4 linked regions of the Sus scrofa genome follow. The protein of the gene in region 3 interacts with the protein of the main gene of each other region in a pairwise test. Links are inferred from orthologs where the notes say so. Each region holds a gene or a part of one and is shown on either strand. Other genes may lie near its edges.

Region 1 (4,719 bases), on a different chromosome or scaffold from region 3:
CCGTGGGAGCGGCCCAAGAAATAGCAAAAAAGCCAAAAAAAAAAAAAAGAGGATCAGCGTAGATAGCACAGCACTAGGCTCCTGAAGTGTCAACCTTGGGAGGCTCTGAAATCAATGCACAGACTGAAAATCACTAGCACACAGGCCAAATACAACCCACAGATGGGTTATGTTTGGCTTCTAGTGTATTAGTTGCCAACTGTAAAAAATCTAGAGATGTCACATAATAACCCTAGATTTCTGGCTTAAAAAACAAATGCCAGGAGTTACCGTCGTGGCGCAGTGGTTAACGAATCCGACTAGGAACCATGAGGTTGCGGGTTCGGTCCCTGCCCTTGCTCAGTGGGTTAACGATCCGGCGTTGCCGTGAGCTGTGGTGTAGGTTGCAGACGCGGCTCGGATCCCCCGTTGCTGTGGCTCTGGCGTAGGCCGGTGGCTACAGCTCCGATTCGACCCCTAGCCTGGGAATCTCCATATGCCGTGGGAGCGGCCCAAGAAATAGCAGCAACAACAACAACAAAAAGACAAAAGACAAAAAAAAAAAAAAAAAAAAAACCAAACAGAAAACAAAAAACAAATGCCAGCTACAGTTAGCCTGTAGTTTTCCATGCTATCGTCTCACCTGGGGCCAGGTGGCAGTCAAGCCTTTGAATAAAGCAGGCATTCTCTTGGTCCTCATGGGTGCCTCTGGCTAGCTTGGCTTTATTTGAGTTTTCAACCTCATCTAATCCAATTCTCTTATTGTGTAGAGAAGTGAAAACCAAGGACCAGAGAGGAGAAAGGTCTCGCCCAAGGTCACACAGCAAGTTAGAAGTGGTGCTGGCTGAAGAGGACTGACCACTCAGGCCTCCTTCTTTCCATCTTCTCAAAGAGAGCAGGTTAGACTTCGGTTCCCGCTTGCTCCCAGGCTAGAAGCCCTTGTGCAGTGAACCTGCACGTCTCTATGCTATGGTCCTGCAGCCCCTGCTCTCATTAAACTATGTAGGTTGAAAATGTTCTCAAATCAGGTTGTGATGATGGTTGTACAGGTATAAATGTAATAAACCCGCTGAATGAAAAAAACATTAGAAAAAACAAAAACAAAAAGTAAGTAGCTGCTCTGGAAGTAGTGTTTCCTCCAAATCCTGGCACAGCAGGCTAACCCAGGAATGTCAGATTCAAACTCCCTCCCCTCACCAGCCTCATAAGCAGCTGCCCTCTGCTCACCTAGACCTTTGGCTTTCTTCTTTTCCTGGGGCCTTCGGTGGTCTCGGTCTACGACCTCGTCACTTGCCCGGATCTCGTCTGCGCCCGGCTCCCCCTTGGAGGGCTCCTTCTCACCATTGACTACTGGGGTCTCTGGCTCAGGCTCCCCATTCCTTGAGGCATAGGTCCGGGACTTCTCTGCATCTTCAGGTTCACCAGGCTCACCCTGTGCCCCATCTTCGCCTGGGCCCCCCTGATTGTTGTCTATACAGTATGTACTGAGGATGTCTTCCAATTGGCGGCTCAACTCCTCTGAGACATCACGGAGGGCCCCAGTTTTGGCTTGTGCTCCTGCAGCAGGAGGGATGAGGGGCAGAGTCAGAAATAAGACCATTATGCCACTGGCTGGGATTTTTTCAGGCCCAAACTTACTAGTTTGGGTTAAATGTTACCTAACTTCTTTAAACCTCAGTTTTATTACTGATAAAACTATTTCTCACCTCTGCCCAACCATGCTTGTTATAAGAGAAATCAAGTAAGGAGACCACCCAACACAGAGGTGGCATCATGTAGCAGGAACTCAAGGTCTAGTCCACCTGCAAATGTCACTTCTTGCTATTAAAAAAGTTCCAAGAGTTCCCGTTGTGGTGCAGCAGAAACGAATCTGACTAGTATTCATGAAGACTCAGGTTCGACCCTTGGCCTCACTTAGTAGGTGAGGGATCCTGTGTTGCTGTGACTGTGGTGCAGGCTGGCAGCTGTAGCTCCAATTCGACTTGAGCCTGGGCACCTCCATATGCCTAGGGTGGGGCCCTAAGAAACAGAAAAAAAAGAAAAAAAAAAAAAAGTTCCAGAAATGCCTCAAATAGGAATAGCAGTTACCCACTGCTGAAAGTGGTGTTTTTGATTTGCTGGTTGGGTGCCTCATTTGACTGCCAACCTGACTTAATCCTGTCAGAAGCTTCTCTCAGGAGAGTTCTGTCCCTGTGCTTAGGGTGGGAGGCTCTATCAACTCCCCAGCGCAGAGTGGGCACTCAAGGACTCAGTGGTGTCCTCCCCTCATTCTACATTTCCTCCCTTCTGGATAAACAGTGGCCTTGGCTTCTAACCCCAGAAGCTAGACTGACGCACCATAAACTCCTCCCCCTGCCCATTGGAAAAGCAGAGCTGGCACACACCCTCAGCCTTCCCTGGAGCCTGGCTGGTGGAACCTTCAGCTTCTGTCGTGGGAGCAGACTGGCTGGGCCGCCCCTGGCCTCCCTCTGGTCCTGCTTCCGGTTGCCCCGGGGTGTTTTTGGGGTTGGAAGTGTGGCCAGATTGCTTGGCAGCCCCATTCTTTTTGTCTTGGTTCTTCATTGTTGTTTGCAACGTTAGGTTATGAGCAGAACCTATAGAAACAAATACACTTGCTATTTTCCAGACTTTAAACAATTCTTCGCAGCCTGGATCTGATATCTCCACACCGGACCCGCAAAGCTTCTTAAACCGACCGGCCTTCCTCGGATGGGAGCCAGTGGGGCTCCCTATCTCTGGTCGGTCAGGGAAGTCTGGTGTGCCCAACAGCAGGGGAGAGGAGGCCTCCTTTTTCCCCGAAGCTACTTCCCCGGCACAACCCAGCCCTCTCACCACAGCCCGTGCGCCGGACAGGCTCAGGCCCAGGGACTGACGTGGCGGGACGCTGGATTCCCGGTTCCTCCCCGCCCCCCAGGCCCCACGTGTGCCCACCCCCCCGCGCGCGCGCGCAGCCACCCACGCCCCGCGCGCCCTCCAGCCGCGCGCTCCGCCCGCGCATGCGCACAGGCCTCGGCCCCTGCACTCCAGCCCGAGTCCTCGTGCGGAATCGGCGTAATTCCCTGAACCGTCCGAAGGCGTCGGGCCCCGGGCCCTCTGCTTGCCTTGTACCCCTAACCGACGCAATACGCACCCCACCGCCGACGTCCCGACGGCTTCTCCTGCTCTGGCCTCTCACCGGAAACCCTGGGTAACTGCTGCCGGCAGAGCCGCCTGCTCGCGCCGCGGCCAATCAATAGCCCGCGCTCTCGCGGGGCTTGCTGGGAAAGTTGAAGCGAAGGCGGCCTCTGAGGCGGGTGAGTTGGGAAGGCGGAGTGGGGGGGTGGAGGGACAGAAAGGACTACATGTCCCTCCATGCACCGGGCTGATCCCGACTCCCAAGCTGCAACAGGGCTTTCGTTCTTGGAGCCCAGACCCAGGAGGTCCGAAAGCAGCCAGTCATTCTGCACTGGTACTCACGTCAACCTCCTTTCCATCACGCAGAAGTTATGATTCAGCTCCCAGAGCCTTGCGCCTGGCTGCTTTTTCCCCGCACACCTCAACCCCGTCCTTCCCTCCTGCTGAGGATATCTGTGACTATCTAGGAACTCTGAGGACGAGGGATAAAATACGGTGCTGGACATCAGATCTGTATTCCTTCCAGTCCTAATTTCATCACTAATTTGTTATGTGACCGGGCATTCTTTTCATTCCCAGAGCCTCGATTTCCGTATTCCTATAGAAAATTTTAATAACAGTAGTTCTTTGAATGCTAGCTTTCCCAGTAACTACTCCAGATAAATACTGTAGTATTTGTTACTCTCAATTTACACCTGTTAGGTGATTGTCCAAGGTCACATAGCTATTGACTGATTAGAGCAGTTTCAAAGCCAGGAAGTCTGGCACCCATCTCAACTACTGGACTACCCTGCTTCTTACTCAGGAAGAAATAATCACCATGATGCGCTTTCCTTGAGGGTGAGTCAAGGTAACTTGGAAAAGTAAATACTTAATTTCCCATCCCCATTTCCACCTTGAGTCCCTCTTTGGAAGGTGCTGAGGCCCTGTAAGGGGAAGTTTGGTTTCAGCAGATTCCTGAGCCTTTTCTTTGGCCCACTCCTACCAAGTCCCAGTTGCACTGGTGCTAAAGGGGAAAAATAGCCAAGCTTTTCTCAAAATGTGAAATCACAATTCTTTTTCCATTTGTCTGTAGACAACAGAATAAAACACAGCAACCTATGTGCTTGGATTTTTTTTTTTTTTTTTTTTTTTTTTAAGGGCTGCACCTGCGGCATATGGAAGTTCCCAGGCTAGGGGTCTAATCAGAGCAGTGGCTGCCAGCCTGCACCACAGCCATAGCAACGCCAGACCCGAGCCACATCTGTGACCTACGCTGCAACTCATGGCAATGCCAGATTCTTAACCCACTGAGTGAGGCCAGGGATCGAACCTGTGTCCTCATGGATGCTAGTTGGATTCTTTACCTCTGAGCCACAACAGGAACTCCTGTGCTTGAAATTTAATGCCTAAATGGTTTTGCTTTTATTTCCTGTCAATCCTCCTCATCCCCTTGGCCTTTTAAAAAAAATTATTAAAGCGTAGTTGATTTACAATGTTTCGTCCCCCTCTGCCTTTTTTGTTCCAGCTATACTTTTACTGTTTCCAGGATTTCCCAGGTTTTTGCAGGTGCCATACCATTGTCGATGAAAAAAATGTTACCTGCCATATCAGTAAACAAAGGATGTTGCAGCCATCAAGCCATCA
Region 2 (4,563 bases), on a different chromosome or scaffold from region 3:
ACCGGGCGATTCTAAGGCCCTTTACCTGCGTGGCTAATAACAAGATCTGCTTTCTGAAGGTCTTCTTTCAATGAATCCTTGTACCTGTAAACATCCAGAGTAAATGACTCAGTACTGAATGGTTCAGGTACCACCTTTCCTCTACCTATTTGTAGGACAAGTCGGTTGTAACCAAGGCTCTTGATTATCTGAAACGGGAAAAAAGAAAAAGGGACCCTTTTAAAACAGGCGACTGTAAAAACAGCAACTATGGCAACCAACTCCAAAATCGGAGCACGGGCGGCCAAAGAGTCGAACTGGAGCCGAAGTGTTAGTTTTCCTTCTTCCCCGATTCCGGGCCCGACAGGGCACCTCGCTAGCCCTGAGGGATCTAGACGCCCCAGCTCACCACATCGTGAGAGAAATGGGCCCGCAAGAACTAAGAGACCAGGCAAAGGCTCTGAAAAAGGTGTCGCGAGCTAGGGGGAGACCAAGGAACAGCTTCGTCGTGGTCCCACAGATGGAACTGCGCGAACCTCACGCCCTGAGAGGGCGCTGCGGGGATACCGGTCGCGAGGGCGCCTTAGGGAAGGAAAGGCGCCAGGGCCCGAACGCGGCGGGGCCGGACGAGGGCAGGACGGGGCGGCGCGCCAGGCTGAACTGGTCGGGCCGGGCCTGACGGAGCGCGTCGACCGCGCGGCCCCGAGCGGCCCTGAGGAGCGGCCGGCGAGGCGGGCAAGGGCCCGAGAGGCGGGTCGGAGCCCCGGCTCGGAGAGGCGGAGCCGCTAGAAGGAGGGGCGAAGCCGGAGGACGGAGAGGCGGAGGCGGAGAATCGGAGGGGAAAAGCCGGGGAAAAGGAGGAGCCGGAGAAAGGACGGGGAGGAGCGGCCCGGGAAGGCGGCGGGGAACGGGGAGAGGAGGCGGAGGACCCTGAGGAGCGGGGGAGTGGGAGGAGGGCCCAGCTGGGCGCGGGGAGGAGCCGGCCGAGGGGCGTCGGCACCTGAGGTCGAGCGGCTGGGGGTTCTTCCCGAGGACCGCGGTCAGGCAAGGTTACCGAGGTTAGCGGTCAGGCTGGCGGCGGCGGGCGGCGAGCAGCGAGCGGCGAGCGCAGCGCGGCGAGCCCAACCGCCGCCCGCCTGCCTCCCCCACTCACTTGCAGACTGTCGTGCGCCGATACACACGCAATCAGGTCGTCAAAGCTGGTGGTCCCTACAGTAACAAACACGCACTTCATCGCGCGGGTTCCGCAACCCCGAATCGCAAGGGCCGGATGTGACGTAGCAGAGCCACGCGGGCTGCCGCGGCAGCGCTGGGTGTGGGAGGCGGAAGTCGGCCCCAGCCGCCAGGGGGCAACGGGAACCCGGCCTGTGTTGCCGGGAATGGGAGGGGGCCAAAGACTGCTAATGGCCTACGTGCAGGCTACTGTTGTAAGCCCTTTGCGTGTAGAAGCTCACGGGACCCTCACAGTAAGGAGGTGGGCAATTGACAAATGTATTGTTTTTCAAAAGTGGGGGTTAAAACAAATAGTAGTGAAGCCTTACACCTTTGTGTTTGCATCCTTGCTCGAGTACCACAGATCTTTTAATGGTAGAGAAGTTTGGGATTCTTTTTTGGCTACCGTGTTTTGCCAAGATAACGTTTTACTTCAAGTCTGTGAAGGGCATCGGGAAAAAAAGAAGTGCCTTTTCAAAATCGCTCATTAGCCTAGGCTCTTCTTCAACAGCAGTTTTCGAGAAACCACAGCCCTACAAAGTCTCTTGGAAACTGCAGAGAAACCGTAATTTCCATTTGCAAGCATTGTTTGTAAAATAGAGGCGTTAAGCCCTGAAGCCCACATTTGTGTCGTTGAACCAATCCATTTAACCATTTAAATAATAAAATTACCATAAATTTACATTCTAATGAATGTAAAATTATATATTAGCATGACTGAATACCTCATATACTTAGGTTTATGAAGTGAAATACAGGAGAGTTGATTTCTGAAGGCTCCCCTTCTTTCTCCTTGCACCATTGCTAAGATCATTGCCTGCTTTAGCTCATTCTAATGGTTTGTGTATTTCCTACTTAAAATCTCAGTTTAGCTAATATTTATGCTTTGCCCTGACTGGTTATACATGGAAGGGAAACTATGAGAAGAAATTCTTTTCAACACAGAGGATTGGTAGTGAGTTAGGCCTACAACATAGGCTAAAAAAAAGAACAAATATTAGTCATATTTCTAATGGGACTGTTAAATCTTGCATTTTGACTAATTGTCTTTTTGAGGGGTGGTATACTGCTGCCTCTTTCTTGATACCAAATTTCATGAATTAATGAAACTACAGTTTCATAATAACAACATAGATCATGGTTAAATAATAAAGCAAACATAATCATATTTTCTGCCCCAAAATAAGAGGAATAAAGAATGTTTATTGGAATATAAAGACAAAAATACTCAGTAATTTAGAAAGACTGCATCTGATATCTTTTCCCATATCTGAAAGATGTAAATTAAAGGAGCACTGTTCTGATTAGCTCAGAGAAAATAAGCACATATATAAATTGAATATTCTTAAATTCCCAGAAAATAAGAAAACTGAATTTCTGATGAACCAAGCCCCCCCTAAAATTGAGCTTCCTTACCAATTAATGATTTATCTCTCCTTCCCTGAAACTATTCCCTTGCTTGTCTCCTCTGATCTCAATTCCTTTCTTGTCCCCTCTGACCTCAATCCTGTTCTAGCTGAACCCTAATCAGCCAGAGTCAGACGACTAAAATTGCTATTGTTATATCATCATTAAGGTAAAAACTCAGGTAGTTTCTCCAAGGCAAGATGAGCTCACAGGCCTCCGAGCCAGACCACCTGGCCAGAGAATCCTAAACCAGAGACCTCTTGACTCCTGAAATCACGATAAAGGAATGTCACAAGACAATGATTAATTCCAGCTTCTTCTTCCCCTTTAAAACATCCCTAACTAAAAGACCAAGAAGGAGTGGATCTGAGACCTGTATTCCTCTCCTTTGCTTGGTGCCTTGCAAATGAACATTTACTTTGCTGCAAATACCCTCTGCCAAGTTTGGCTTTCTATGCCTCAAGCAGAGGAGCCCCTGCTTAGTTACATTGATACATTTAAAGTGCTAGACTTTAATAAAACATCTTGCAGAAACATTTTAAGAACCCAAGATGACATAATTGATGGAAAATTCTGGCGATTAAGTCTTTTCTCTGTTTGGCAGTGTTAAATATAATACAAGCATGCACAATCATGTATCATTTTCCTAAACTTATACAGCCTTACTAGTTAAATAAATTAATGTTACTTCTAAAAAAAGGTTTTTTTAAGGCCACACCTGCAGCTTATGGACGTGCCCAGGCTAAGGGTCAATCGGAGCTGCAGCTGCCGACCTTCACCACAGCCACAGCAACACCAAATTCAAACCTTGTCTGCAAGCTACACCACAGCTGGGGGCAATGCCAGATCCTTAACCCACTGAGTGAGGCCAGGGACTGAGGGCAGGAATCGAACTGGCATCTTCATGGATACTAGTCAGGTTCTTAACCCAATGAGCCACAATGGGAACTCCTAAAAATGTTTTTGATTATGAAAATGTAAATTTCTTTTAAAGTCATGTTGAATCAGCATTCTGACAAACTTTGTTTCAACAGTAACTATGTTTTATAGTAAGCCAGCTTGAAGATAATTTCCAAGATCTTTTAAGCACCTTTAAAAAGATTGTGTATTGGCATTAATTGAGTTAATTAATGTGTAATTGTTGCACAACTACTTTTTAAGTAAAATAGAATATTGAAACATTAGTTTAAGCATAATTATTTTTTAATCAATATAAATTTTTTTATTTTATGATTTTTATTTTTTCACTATAGTTTATTTACAGTGTTCTGCCAGTTTCTACTGTACAGCAGAGAGACCCAGTCATATATATGTATGTATATATTATTTTTCTCACATTATCCTCCATCATGTTCCATCATAAGTGTCTAGATATAATTCCCTGTGCTATACAGCAGGATCTCATTGCTTATCCACTCCAAATGCAATAGTTTACACCTATTAACCCTAGACTCCCAGTCCATCCCACTCCCTCCCCCTCCCCCTTGGCAACCACAAGTCTCTCCTCTAAGTCCATGAGTTTCTTTTCTGTGGAAAGTTTTATTTGTGCCATATATTAGAATCCAGATATAAGTGATATCATATGGTATTTGGCTTTCTGTTTCTGACTTAACTTCACTTAGTATGAAAGTCTCTAGTTCCATCCATGTTGCTGCAAATGGCATTATTTTGTTCTTTTTTATGGCTGAGTAGTATTCCATTGTGTATATATACCACATCTTAATCCATTCATCTATCGATGGACATTTAGGTTGTTTCCATGTCTTGGCTATTGTGAATAGTGCTGCAATGAACATATAGGTGAATGTATCTTTTTCAAGGAAAGTTTTATCTGGATATATGTCCAAGAGTGGGATGCTGGGTCCTATGGTAGTTCTATATTTAGTTTTCTGAGGAACCTCCATACCATTTTCCATGTGGTTGTACCAACTTACATTCACCTCAGCAATGTAGGAGGTTCCCTTT
Region 3 (4,713 bases):
TGGTGTAGGTTGCAGACGCGGCTTGGATCCCACGTTGCTGTTGCTGTGGCTATGGTGTAGGCAAGCAGGTACAGCTTCAACTTGACCCCTAGCCTTCGAACTCCCATATGCCATGGGGAGGTCCCAAAAAACAAAAGAAATGAAGGAAGGAAGGAAGGGAGAAAGGGAAAGGTTCCACAGCAAAGAAACTAGAGTTGGGCCAATTCACACTGGACTTACTAAATGTGACAAAAACAGGTGATGTGGAACCTCCTTAAGAAGAATGGTAAGGGAGTTCCCACTGTGGCGCAATGGAAACAAATCCGACTAGTAATCATGAGGTTTCGGGTTCAATCCCTGGCCTAACTCAGGGGATTAAGGATCTGGCGTTGCTGTAGCTGTGGCATAGGCTGGCGGCTACAGCTCCAATTTGACCCCTAACCTGGGAATTTTCATATGCTGCAGGTGCAGCTCTTTTTCAACAGCCCCCCCCCCAAAAAATGGCACAAATGAACCTATACACAGAACAGAAACAGACTCACAGACCATAGAGAACAGACTTGTGCTTGCCAAGGAGGAGAGGGAGGGAGTGGGATAGACTGGGAGTTTTGGGTTAGTAGATGCAAACTGTTACACTTAGAATGGAAAAGAAATAAGGTCCTACTGTATAGGAATGTATAACTGGGTCATTTTCCTGTAAGACAGAAAGTGGCACTATACTTTAAAAAATAAAAAAGTAAAAATTATATTCTTTTGATTTAACCATTTAAATGTAGCATAGTACAGTCTTAGTCAAATGACATTCTTCAAAATGACACACTGCTGATGGCGTAGGGGTGATGTCTCTTTTCCTGTTTTTTGTAAGGAGCACTTCTAATTGCAAAGAAGTTGACCAAGCCACCAAAGGAAGGTCAAGGACAAAGTCCACAGCTTAATGGCATCAACTTCCCAAACATATGAGTGGGGCAAAGGTAGAAAAATAAAGTGTTGGGAGTTCCCATCGTGGCGCAGTGGTTAACGAATCCGACTAGGAACCATGAGGTTGCGGGTTCGGTCCCTGGCCTTGCTCAGTGGGTTAACGATCCGGCGTTGCCGTGAGCTGTGGTGTAGGTTGCACACGCGGCTCGGATCCCGAGTTGCTGTGGCTCTGGCGTAGGCCGGTGGCTGCAGCTCTGATTAGACCCCTAGCCTGGGAACCTCCATATGCCGAGGGAGCGGCCCAAAGAAATAGCAAAAAGACAAAAAAAAAAAAAAAAAGAAAAAGAAAGTGTTTAATTGAGAGAGGTACAGGAGGTACTCTCAAATCCTTTAAGGAAAAGGAGCTGAGTTGTGGCAGCTGTGACTGGCAAGCACTATGAAGTAGTTAAAGCTTTCTTTCTGAGGCAGACTGTAGCAGGAGGCAATGTTAAGGGCAGGTCTAACCCCTAAAACTAATATGGTAACTTAGGCACCCTTTCTATTACTATTCATTCCCAGGCTATGTGCCACGGCCAGAAGAACCAAAACACTCTGATGAAACAGCTGTTACATGCTTCCCTCTTCCTCTCCCAGTAAATTTCCCTCCAAAGGCCCCTGAATATTCCTTGATTTCCACCAGTGTGCCATGCCTAGCTCATTAAAATAAAATGGCACATGTCTACATCCCTGGCATATATATGCTTTTATCTTAGGTAGGAAATGGAAATAATGATCTTTCCTTCTTCTGGGTTCAGTTCAAGAACCAGGAACCAAGTTGTCTGTTGTGCCCTTCCCAAATCAACTTTTATGTGCTAATTCACTGAAGATAGAGTATAACTAATTATCATTTGAAGGCATCTATTTGACAGGCCTGGAGCAGTTACCATCTGCTGCTAAGGTATCCCCTACAGAGGCAAGAAAAAAGTGTCCTCACCCTTTCTGTCTGATGGTGGTAACAGAGAATGAATGGGGGGATACTGGGAAAAATATTTTGCAACTCACAAAAAACCCTGTGAACAGTAAATGCTTGATTTACTCCAAACAATTTGTTTTTAATTTTACTACCAGATTCTTTTGGGCCTGGGGGGCTGCCAAGTGCAGCAGCCTGATGTGGGATCTCAGTTCCCAGACCAGGGATCAAACCTGGGCTGCAGCAGTGAAAGCACTGAGTCCTAACCAGAGATCTAGGCCACCAAAGACCTCCCTCAAAGAAGAATTTGAGTTTACAAGGCAAGTACTGAAAAATTATTCCCCTACACGCTTGTCCTCTGATTGATTCCACTTGTAAAAGCATATGGGCTAAGTCTAATTAAAGGCAAGCCAATAGGAAAAGTTATCATTTGACTCCTTTAAACCCAACACAGGTGGAGGTTATCTCTCCTAGATCATCAGCCCGTTCTAACTCGTGATGCTTATTAAGTTGATGCTTCATTGCAATAACAGGCAGTTCCCAACTAATTTAAGTCCAGTATTGAGTGAGACTCCACCAGTTCCTGCACTAGGTAGGAGTCAGGAAGCCTTCTTCTCCAAATCATCCCATATTGTACAATCCTGAAAGCCAAAAATATATGTATGATAATAATCAGTATTTAATACTAGGAAAGGATACTCTACGGAAATAAAAAAAAAAAAAAAGGTGCTTCATCTAAAAAATAACAAGGTACCATCCTTCTTGGATGTAGACCCTGCAGGACTGAATTTTGGAGAAATGCTGAGTGGAAAGTGCAAAGGCGTTCGGAGTCTGCTTACTTTTGTCCTTGACATCCTTCCTTTGGTCACCATTTTCAGAACAGCACTAGAAGGAGAGCAGGTGTGACAAACACATTAAGACTGAAGCAATAAGTGAAATTCATACAGGGTTCCCAGAGGGCATCCACGGGAGGACCCCAAGGTTCCAGACCCCTCCCCCCTGGAGACTTCCTGAGGTGCGATCTGATGCAGGTTCCAAAAAGGGCTAGCTCCTTGAGGCCACCACAGCCACCTCCCCAGAAAGATCTGTGTCATCTCATCGGTATCGCCACAGCCACTGCATTGGGATTACCTCTCCTGAGAGGTCTATGCCACCTCACTGGGCCACCAGTGTCCCCTCCCGCGGCCACTAGGGCCCCCTCACCGGGGTTGCTGGCGCTTCGCCGATCTCGCTGGCCGGGAGCATCCTGCCTCCGCGCGAGTCCTCGGTTCCATGTGCAGCCAGCGTGGTCAGTGGACCCTGGCTCCGGCCAGCGGCTAGACAGCGGCTGAACCTTTCGAGACCTTAGCGTTGGACGCCACGGCAACTTCCTCTGCCGTCTCTCTGGTTTCTTCCTTTCTTTCCAGAGAGGCCCTTCTCGCGCAGTTGCCGGTCTTGCGCGGTGGCGCCCCCTGCCGGCTTGGATCCGGATCGGACGCTCTGGAAGAAGAAAAGGGGGCGAGCAAAGGCAGTCCTTGTCATTCTAAGTAAAACCTCCTTCACTGCTTTGGAAACATTAATGATGGAGATTCAAAGTATCCTTCCTTCCACACTGTAAATTCATTATGAATCATTTCAACTTATATTTTAGAGGATATCCCAGATGTTCTGAGAGTGTGAGGGAGCTTGTTGACAAGTAGTAATGTAATTTGGTTGGGTGGTTTAATCGCATAATTTCCAATGTCAGTATCTTTGGATCATTCTTTTAAAGCTAATCAGATTTAACTACAAGTTACACTTCAACTTCCTACCTGAAGGGTGCAGATCTGATTGTAAACATTCTGGGAGCAGAACAGAGGGAAAGGACTCAGCATCTAATATATACTTCAGATCAAAGTCTGTACTTTGCCAGGGAGGAGGACCAGGACTGGCAGCATGATATAGGTAGAGAATTCAGGGATGCGACAACTTCAAAAATAAACATGTAAAGTGGTACCATTGAGACTAAAACTAACAGAGAAAGGGAGAAAAAGCAACCCTTAGAGAAAACAGAACCGATTCAATGAGAACATTGTATTTATTTATTTATGTCCTGAGATATGACGCCACTGCGACTATAAAACAATCACGAGCTACTATTTTGTTTTTACTTTTTGGCCACAATAACGGTAATTCCCCGGCTAGGGATTGAACTCACCATAGCAGTAACCGGAGCCACAGCAGTGACAAGGCCGGATCCTTATCCCACTGAGCAACCAGGGAACTCCAACAGTCTACTATTTTATTTTATTTTATTTTTATTTTGTCTTTTTCGGGCCACACCCACAGCATATGGTGGTTCCCAGGCTAGGGGTCCAATCGAAGCTGTAGCCGCTGGCCTACGCCACAGCCATAGCAACACGGGATCCAAGCCACATCTGTGACCTACACCACAGCTCACGGCAACCCGGATCCTTAAGTCACTGAGCAAGGCCAGGGATCAAATCCCGTTCTCATGGGTACTAGTCGGGTTCCTTAACCACTGAGCCATGACAGGCACTCCTTATTTTATTTTTTTGTCTTTTAGGGCTGCGCCTAAGGCATATGGAGGTTCCCAGGCTAGGATCAAAATGGAGCTATAGCCACTGGCCTACACCACAGTCACAGCAACACAGAGTCCGAGCCGCATCTACGACCTACACCACAGCTCAGGGCAAATCTGGATCCTTAACCCATTGAGCATATGGAGCATATGGAGTTCCCAGGCCAGGGAGTCAGATCTTAACCCACCGAGTGAGGCCAGGTATTGAACTTGCATCCTTACAGACACAATGTCAGGGCAGCCAAAGTACAATGTAACCATATTGGACGGATAAAATAAAAGAAAGGCAAGTGTGGTAGTGGTGGGG
Region 4 (4,849 bases), on a different chromosome or scaffold from region 3:
CACCAGACCAGGGGTGAGTTCCACCAGCTCAGTCTAATAGGTGGTCAGTGAAGCAGGGTCACCTGAGGAAGGGAGGGGAGGACGGATGGCTGGCCCTTGGGGGCTGGGCCCACAGGAAGTCCAGTCTGGGCTCCACGCCCCAGACCCCACCCTCAGGGAGGCCCACACCCAGCTCAGGCTCAGGCTGAGACCATCCCTGCTGCAGACACATACCCTGGGCGGCTGTGTCCCCTGGGGTCTCTGGGTGCTAGAGCTGCCGAGGCTGGAAACAGACAGCCCAGACTCTGCTTCTGAGACCCAGGGGCCCCTGTGAGATGTGGGCCAGGCCAGGTGTCCAAGCAAGGACCAAGGTTCCAGAGAGCCAGGGGCGAGGGGTGGGGGGGTGCTACCCAGTTGAGCCTTTGAACCAGGTCAGCCCGAGGAGGCAACCACAGCACCCGGCAGAGCCACCTGCCCCACCTGGCTGACATCCAGTTCCAGGTCCTCGCCGGCTTGCCGCAGCCCCTCACACTTCTGCTTCAGCTGGGCCCCCGCCTGACGCAGCCTCTGGTTTGTGGCCACGTAGTCCCGACTCTGCTGGTAGAGCTGCTCTCGCTGGGCCTCAGCATCTTCAGCCCTCCAAGAGGGGCCTGGGGAATCTGGGGACAGGACAAGGCAGCATCACTGCCCCCAGGTCACAGAGAGGACCCAATTCACCCCCCAAAGAAAGCAATGAACTGGAGGGGACAAGTCACAGAGGAGGCCTGACTTCACCATCCCACGGCCCTGCCTAGGGGTGAGCTCTATCCAGCTTCTGGTAACCCTGAAGCTGACAGCAGACTGGCTCTCATCTGTGCTCTCCGTGGCTGTGTGTGACACTCAGGGGGTCGGGAGGTGGCAAAGAGGGAACAGACATATATTTCCCAATGACTCTGCTTCCTAAAGGGTGTGCCAGGGGAGGAGCAGTGAGCACAAAAAAGCACAGATTTCAGGGCCACTTGGAGACATGTCAAGGTCCTCTCTGCTCTGCCTGGTCCCCTTGTCTATAAACAGGCCCAGAAACAGCAATTTGATTAAAAATCACTTTATTAGAGTTCCCATTGTGGCATAGCAGTAATGAGCCCAACTAGTATCCATGAGGGTGTGGGTTCAATCCCTGGCCTTGCTCAGTGGGTTAAGGATCCGGCGTTGCTGTGAGCTGTGGTGTAGGTCGCAGATGCTGCTCAGATCCCACATTACTGTGGCTGTGGCCTAGGCCAGCAGCTGCAAACTCCAATATAATCCCTAACCCAGGAATGTCCATTTGCTAAAGGTGCAGCCCTAAAAAAAGTAAAAATAAATCACTTTATCACCTGCTTTAGTAACAAGGTAGGACAGGCCAGACAGTGCACATGGAGGCCAAGGATGGTCCTTGACAGGAACACAGGCCAGCAGAGAAGCCCCCTCTCCCTAGAGTGAGCCCTGGCACTGCCCATTCCTCATGCCCTCAACCTCTGGATGCTGGGAACCTGGACCCATGATTTCTTTTTTTTTTCTTTCCTTTTTTTTTTTTTTGCTTTTTTAGGGCAGCACTCGTGGCATATGGAAGTTCCCAGGCTAGGGGTCGAATTGCAGCTGCAGCCGTCAACCTATGCCATAGCCACAGCAACACAGGATCCAAACCATCCATGTCTGCAACCTACAGGACAGATCACAGCAATGCTGGATCCTTAATCCACTGAGTGAGGCCATGGATCGAACCCGAACCCTCATGGATGCTAGTCAGCTTTGTTACCGCTGAGCCATGACGTGAACTCCTGGACCCGTGATTCATAAGGCTGGGATTCAAGCAGCCTCCGATGACCCAACTGTGAGCCAGGGATAAACATGGCTCCTGTTGCTTGGGCTGGCCTCTCAATCGCAACATTCCAGGTGATGGAAATATCCTCCAATGTAGCTATCCAATGCAGCAGCTGGCACAAGCGGGCTGCTGAGCACTTGAAATGTGGCCACGTGTAACAAAGAACTGAATTTTTTTCTTTTTTTTAATGGCTACACCAGTAGCATATGGAAGTTCCCAGGTCAGGGATCAGATCCAGGCTGCAGATGCTACTATGTCCTAGCTGTGGCAACGCAGAATCCTTTAACCCGCTGTGCTGGGCCAGGGATCAAACTTGAGTCTTGGCACTGCAGAGACACTGCCTATCCCACTGTGCCACAGCGAGAACTCCTATTCTCATCTTCTAGAGTCCCACAAGCCTTATACTGAATGTCAATACCCACTAGAATGGAGCAAGGCAGACACTTTAATCTTTTTGTTCGTTTTTCCACCTCAGTGCTTAGAACAGATTCCGGCCCATAATACGGTCTCAATGAAGGTTTGTTTCTTTGCTTTTTTTTTTTTTTTTAAGGGCCTCACTCGTGTCATATGGAAGTCCCCAGGTTAAGGGTCAAATCTGAGCTGCAGCTGCCCTCCTACCTCACAGCCACAGCAACACAGGATCCGAGCTGCGTCTGCGACCTACACTGCAACTCACAGCAACGCCGGATCCTTAATCCACTGAACGAGGCCAAGGATCAAACCGGCATCCTCATGGATCCTAGTTGGGTTCGTTAACCGCTGAACCACGAGGGGTCACTCCTCAATGAAAGTTTGTTGAATGAATAATGAACCTCATAGAGCAGAACACAAAATTCACCCTACAACTGTATGCCCAACCCTGAAGTCACGGATCTGCTTCCATCTTCTGAACAGGGGCGGACACACTTTTTCTGCAAAAGGCCAGATGCAAGTATTTTTGGCATTTCAGGGCTAGATAATTTCTGTCCTGAATACTGAACTCTGCCCTTCTGTCTTAAAAGCAGCCAGGTACTTTTCCCCACCCCTTCCTGCTGGCCTCTCGGGGTCGCCTCTCCCCTACCTTCAGGAGCCAGAGCGGTGAAGACGGGGTCCTCGGCAGGGGCCCCCCGCACGTCCTCCAAGATCTGCTCCACTGTAGGGGGCGCCGGGCGGGTGGGCAGCACCACGCGCTTCTTGGTCTTGGAGCTCATCCCGGTAGACCGGAGAAGGAAGTGTTGACGGGGTTGTTCCTCGCGCCCAACGAATTTCTACACACGCTCCAGTTCCCCGCTCCTGGCGAAGCCCTTCCTGCCCTGATCCTCCCAAGGGCTGAACAACACGGAGCCAGGGGCTTCAGCGTTCCCCTTCACTCAAGCCTCAGTTTCCCGCTGAGGCTGCTGCCGCCAGCGCCAACTCACCTGCACCGCCTCCGCGGCCGACCGACCATTTCCGCTTCCGGTCACGGTACAGTCCCACCCTACTCGCAAGAGACACACGCTTCCGGCCGGATCCTCCCCGGCTCGTGAAAGCCACGCCCCCTTAAAGAGGCCGCTCCCTCCAGGGTTCTGGTGCGATCGAAGAAACGATTGGACCAGAACCAGAAAGGATGAGACTTCAGCCTCTCCCCCGAGGGGTGGGCGCAGGGTCCTGTTCCCGGCTCTTCTCTCTGCCTAACAAAGCATCTGAAGCCCGGTTTTTTGCAAAAGGGAGACGCAGTCCTCAATCTACGTGGCTGTCGTAGCAACAAATTTACGGTGCAGTCTCTCACCACGTAGCGGGCCACCAGTTCCCAGCGAGGTGGCCAACCTCCGGGATCCCTCTCAAGGTTGCCTCTCCCTTGTCTAAAACCCCCTCCCTACCTGGGTGGGGCCGTAGCTCTGGAGGGTGATCTTGGCCCCCGCCTCTTGGCTAGGACTGAAGACCACCACAGAGCCCAAGGAGGGCGTTTTTAAACAGCTTTATATAATTTACATACTATAAAGTCCACCTGCTTAAAGTGTACAATTCAATGGTTTTGGAATATATATAGGAGAGAGACAGACAGAAAGACAGAGAAGTTGTGCAACCATCACCGCAGTCTAAAGCCAGAACATTCCCTCATCCTCATCACCCCATCCCTTAACAATCCACTATGTTTATGAATTTGTCTGTTCTTGGCGTATCACATTCATGGAATCACACAAGTGTGCCTTTCTCTGAGCATCGTGGTCTCAAGGTCCGTTCACATGGCAGCCAGTGTCGGTGCTTCTCTCTCTTTCATGACTGAGGGATGCTCCTGTGCATGAAGGGACCATATAATGTTTGCCCATCATCCAACAATGTTGTTTCCATATTTTGTCTGCTGTGAATCATGCTGCTGTGAACATTCTTACAAGTGTTGTGTGAATGTGTCTTTAGTTTTCTTGGGTACATACTTAGGAGCAGAACTGTTAGGTCATATGGTAACTCTATGTTTAACTGACTATGGACCTATTTCCCAAAGTGACTGCCCCAAGCTGGCATGTTTTGGGCATTTACTGTGTGCCAGGTGGGAAAATTACCTCTTGACCCTCAAGAGTATTTGGTGAGGCAGGTGCCAGACTTCATGCTGCTGCACAGGATGGCTACGGAGGCTCTGAGAAGGCAGCCAGGTGCCTCTGGACACGCAGCCTGGATTTGCAGAGCCAGACACCACTTCAGGCCTAACTCCAGAGCTGGGCAGAGCTGGGTGGGACTCTAGGCATGCAGGCAGGTCTAGGAGAGCAGATGGCTGTCTCCTCCCTTACCCACCTCCTGCTTCCAGTGGGTCCAGCTGCAGCCCTAGACAGAACCTGAGTCCCTTGAAGGCTTGAGGCTGCCCAACCCAAGCCTGGTAGCCAAGCAGATTCTCAGATGACCAGGGGCACTGGAAGGGTGTGTGTCTGGACTCCTGCTACAAACCAGGACTACCCCCTTGGAGTCCAAGTGAAGCCCATGGTCAAGGCAAAACCAGCCTCCACTCCTTTGTGGAAACCACCTTACGGCTCTGAAAATCAGAAGGAACAGGTTGCCACCCTATTGATGTATGTGAGG

What was found. The genes of interacting proteins can lie anywhere in the genome.
Region 1: the proteins of RINT1 (region 3) and TXLNA interact in binary tests that used the Homo sapiens proteins (3 or more experiments, as listed by UniProt). The two-hybrid records come from large-scale screens. The link is inferred for Sus scrofa from reciprocal best matches to the Homo sapiens genes RINT1 and TXLNA.
Region 2: the proteins of RINT1 (region 3) and DCX interact in binary tests that used the Homo sapiens proteins (3 or more experiments, as listed by UniProt). The two-hybrid records come from large-scale screens. The link is inferred for Sus scrofa from reciprocal best matches to the Homo sapiens genes RINT1 and DCX.
Region 4: the proteins of RINT1 (region 3) and C2H19orf25 interact in binary tests that used the Homo sapiens proteins (3 or more experiments, as listed by UniProt). The link is inferred for Sus scrofa from reciprocal best matches to the Homo sapiens genes RINT1 and C19orf25.

The regions. Positions count from the first base shown.
Region 1 is NC_010448.4:88,658,596-88,663,314, reverse strand, and holds the start of TXLNA (alpha-taxilin), read right to left. Parts: upstream 3,265-4,719; 5' UTR 3,110-3,264; intron 2,879-3,109; exon of another isoform or gene 2,812-2,878; intron 2,574-2,811; 5' UTR 2,542-2,573; coding exon 2,364-2,541; intron 1,537-2,363; coding exon 1,207-1,536; intron 1-1,206. UniProt on the Homo sapiens protein: May be involved in intracellular vesicle traffic and potentially in calcium-dependent exocytosis in neuroendocrine cells.
Region 2 is NC_010461.5:91,641,309-91,645,871, reverse strand, and holds the start of DCX (neuronal migration protein doublecortin), read left to right. Parts: upstream 1-1,299; 5' UTR 1,300-1,453; intron 1,454-3,851; exon of another isoform or gene 3,852-3,910; intron 3,911-4,563. UniProt on the Homo sapiens protein: Microtubule-associated protein required for initial steps of neuronal dispersion and cortex lamination during cerebral cortex development. May act by competing with the putative neuronal protein kinase DCLK1 in binding to a target protein.
Region 3 is NC_010451.4:105,391,388-105,396,100, reverse strand, and holds the start of RINT1 (RAD50-interacting protein 1), read right to left. Parts: upstream 3,249-4,713; 5' UTR 3,092-3,248; coding exon 3,050-3,091; intron 2,732-3,049; coding exon 2,686-2,731; intron 1-2,685. UniProt on the Homo sapiens protein: Involved in regulation of membrane traffic between the Golgi and the endoplasmic reticulum (ER); the function is proposed to depend on its association in the NRZ complex which is believed to play a role in SNARE assembly at the ER.
Region 4 is NC_010444.4:76,997,397-77,002,245, reverse strand, and holds the start of C2H19orf25 (UPF0449 protein C19orf25 homolog), read right to left. Parts: upstream 3,265-4,849; 5' UTR 3,010-3,264; coding exon 2,880-3,009; intron 639-2,879; coding exon 412-638; 3' UTR 1-411.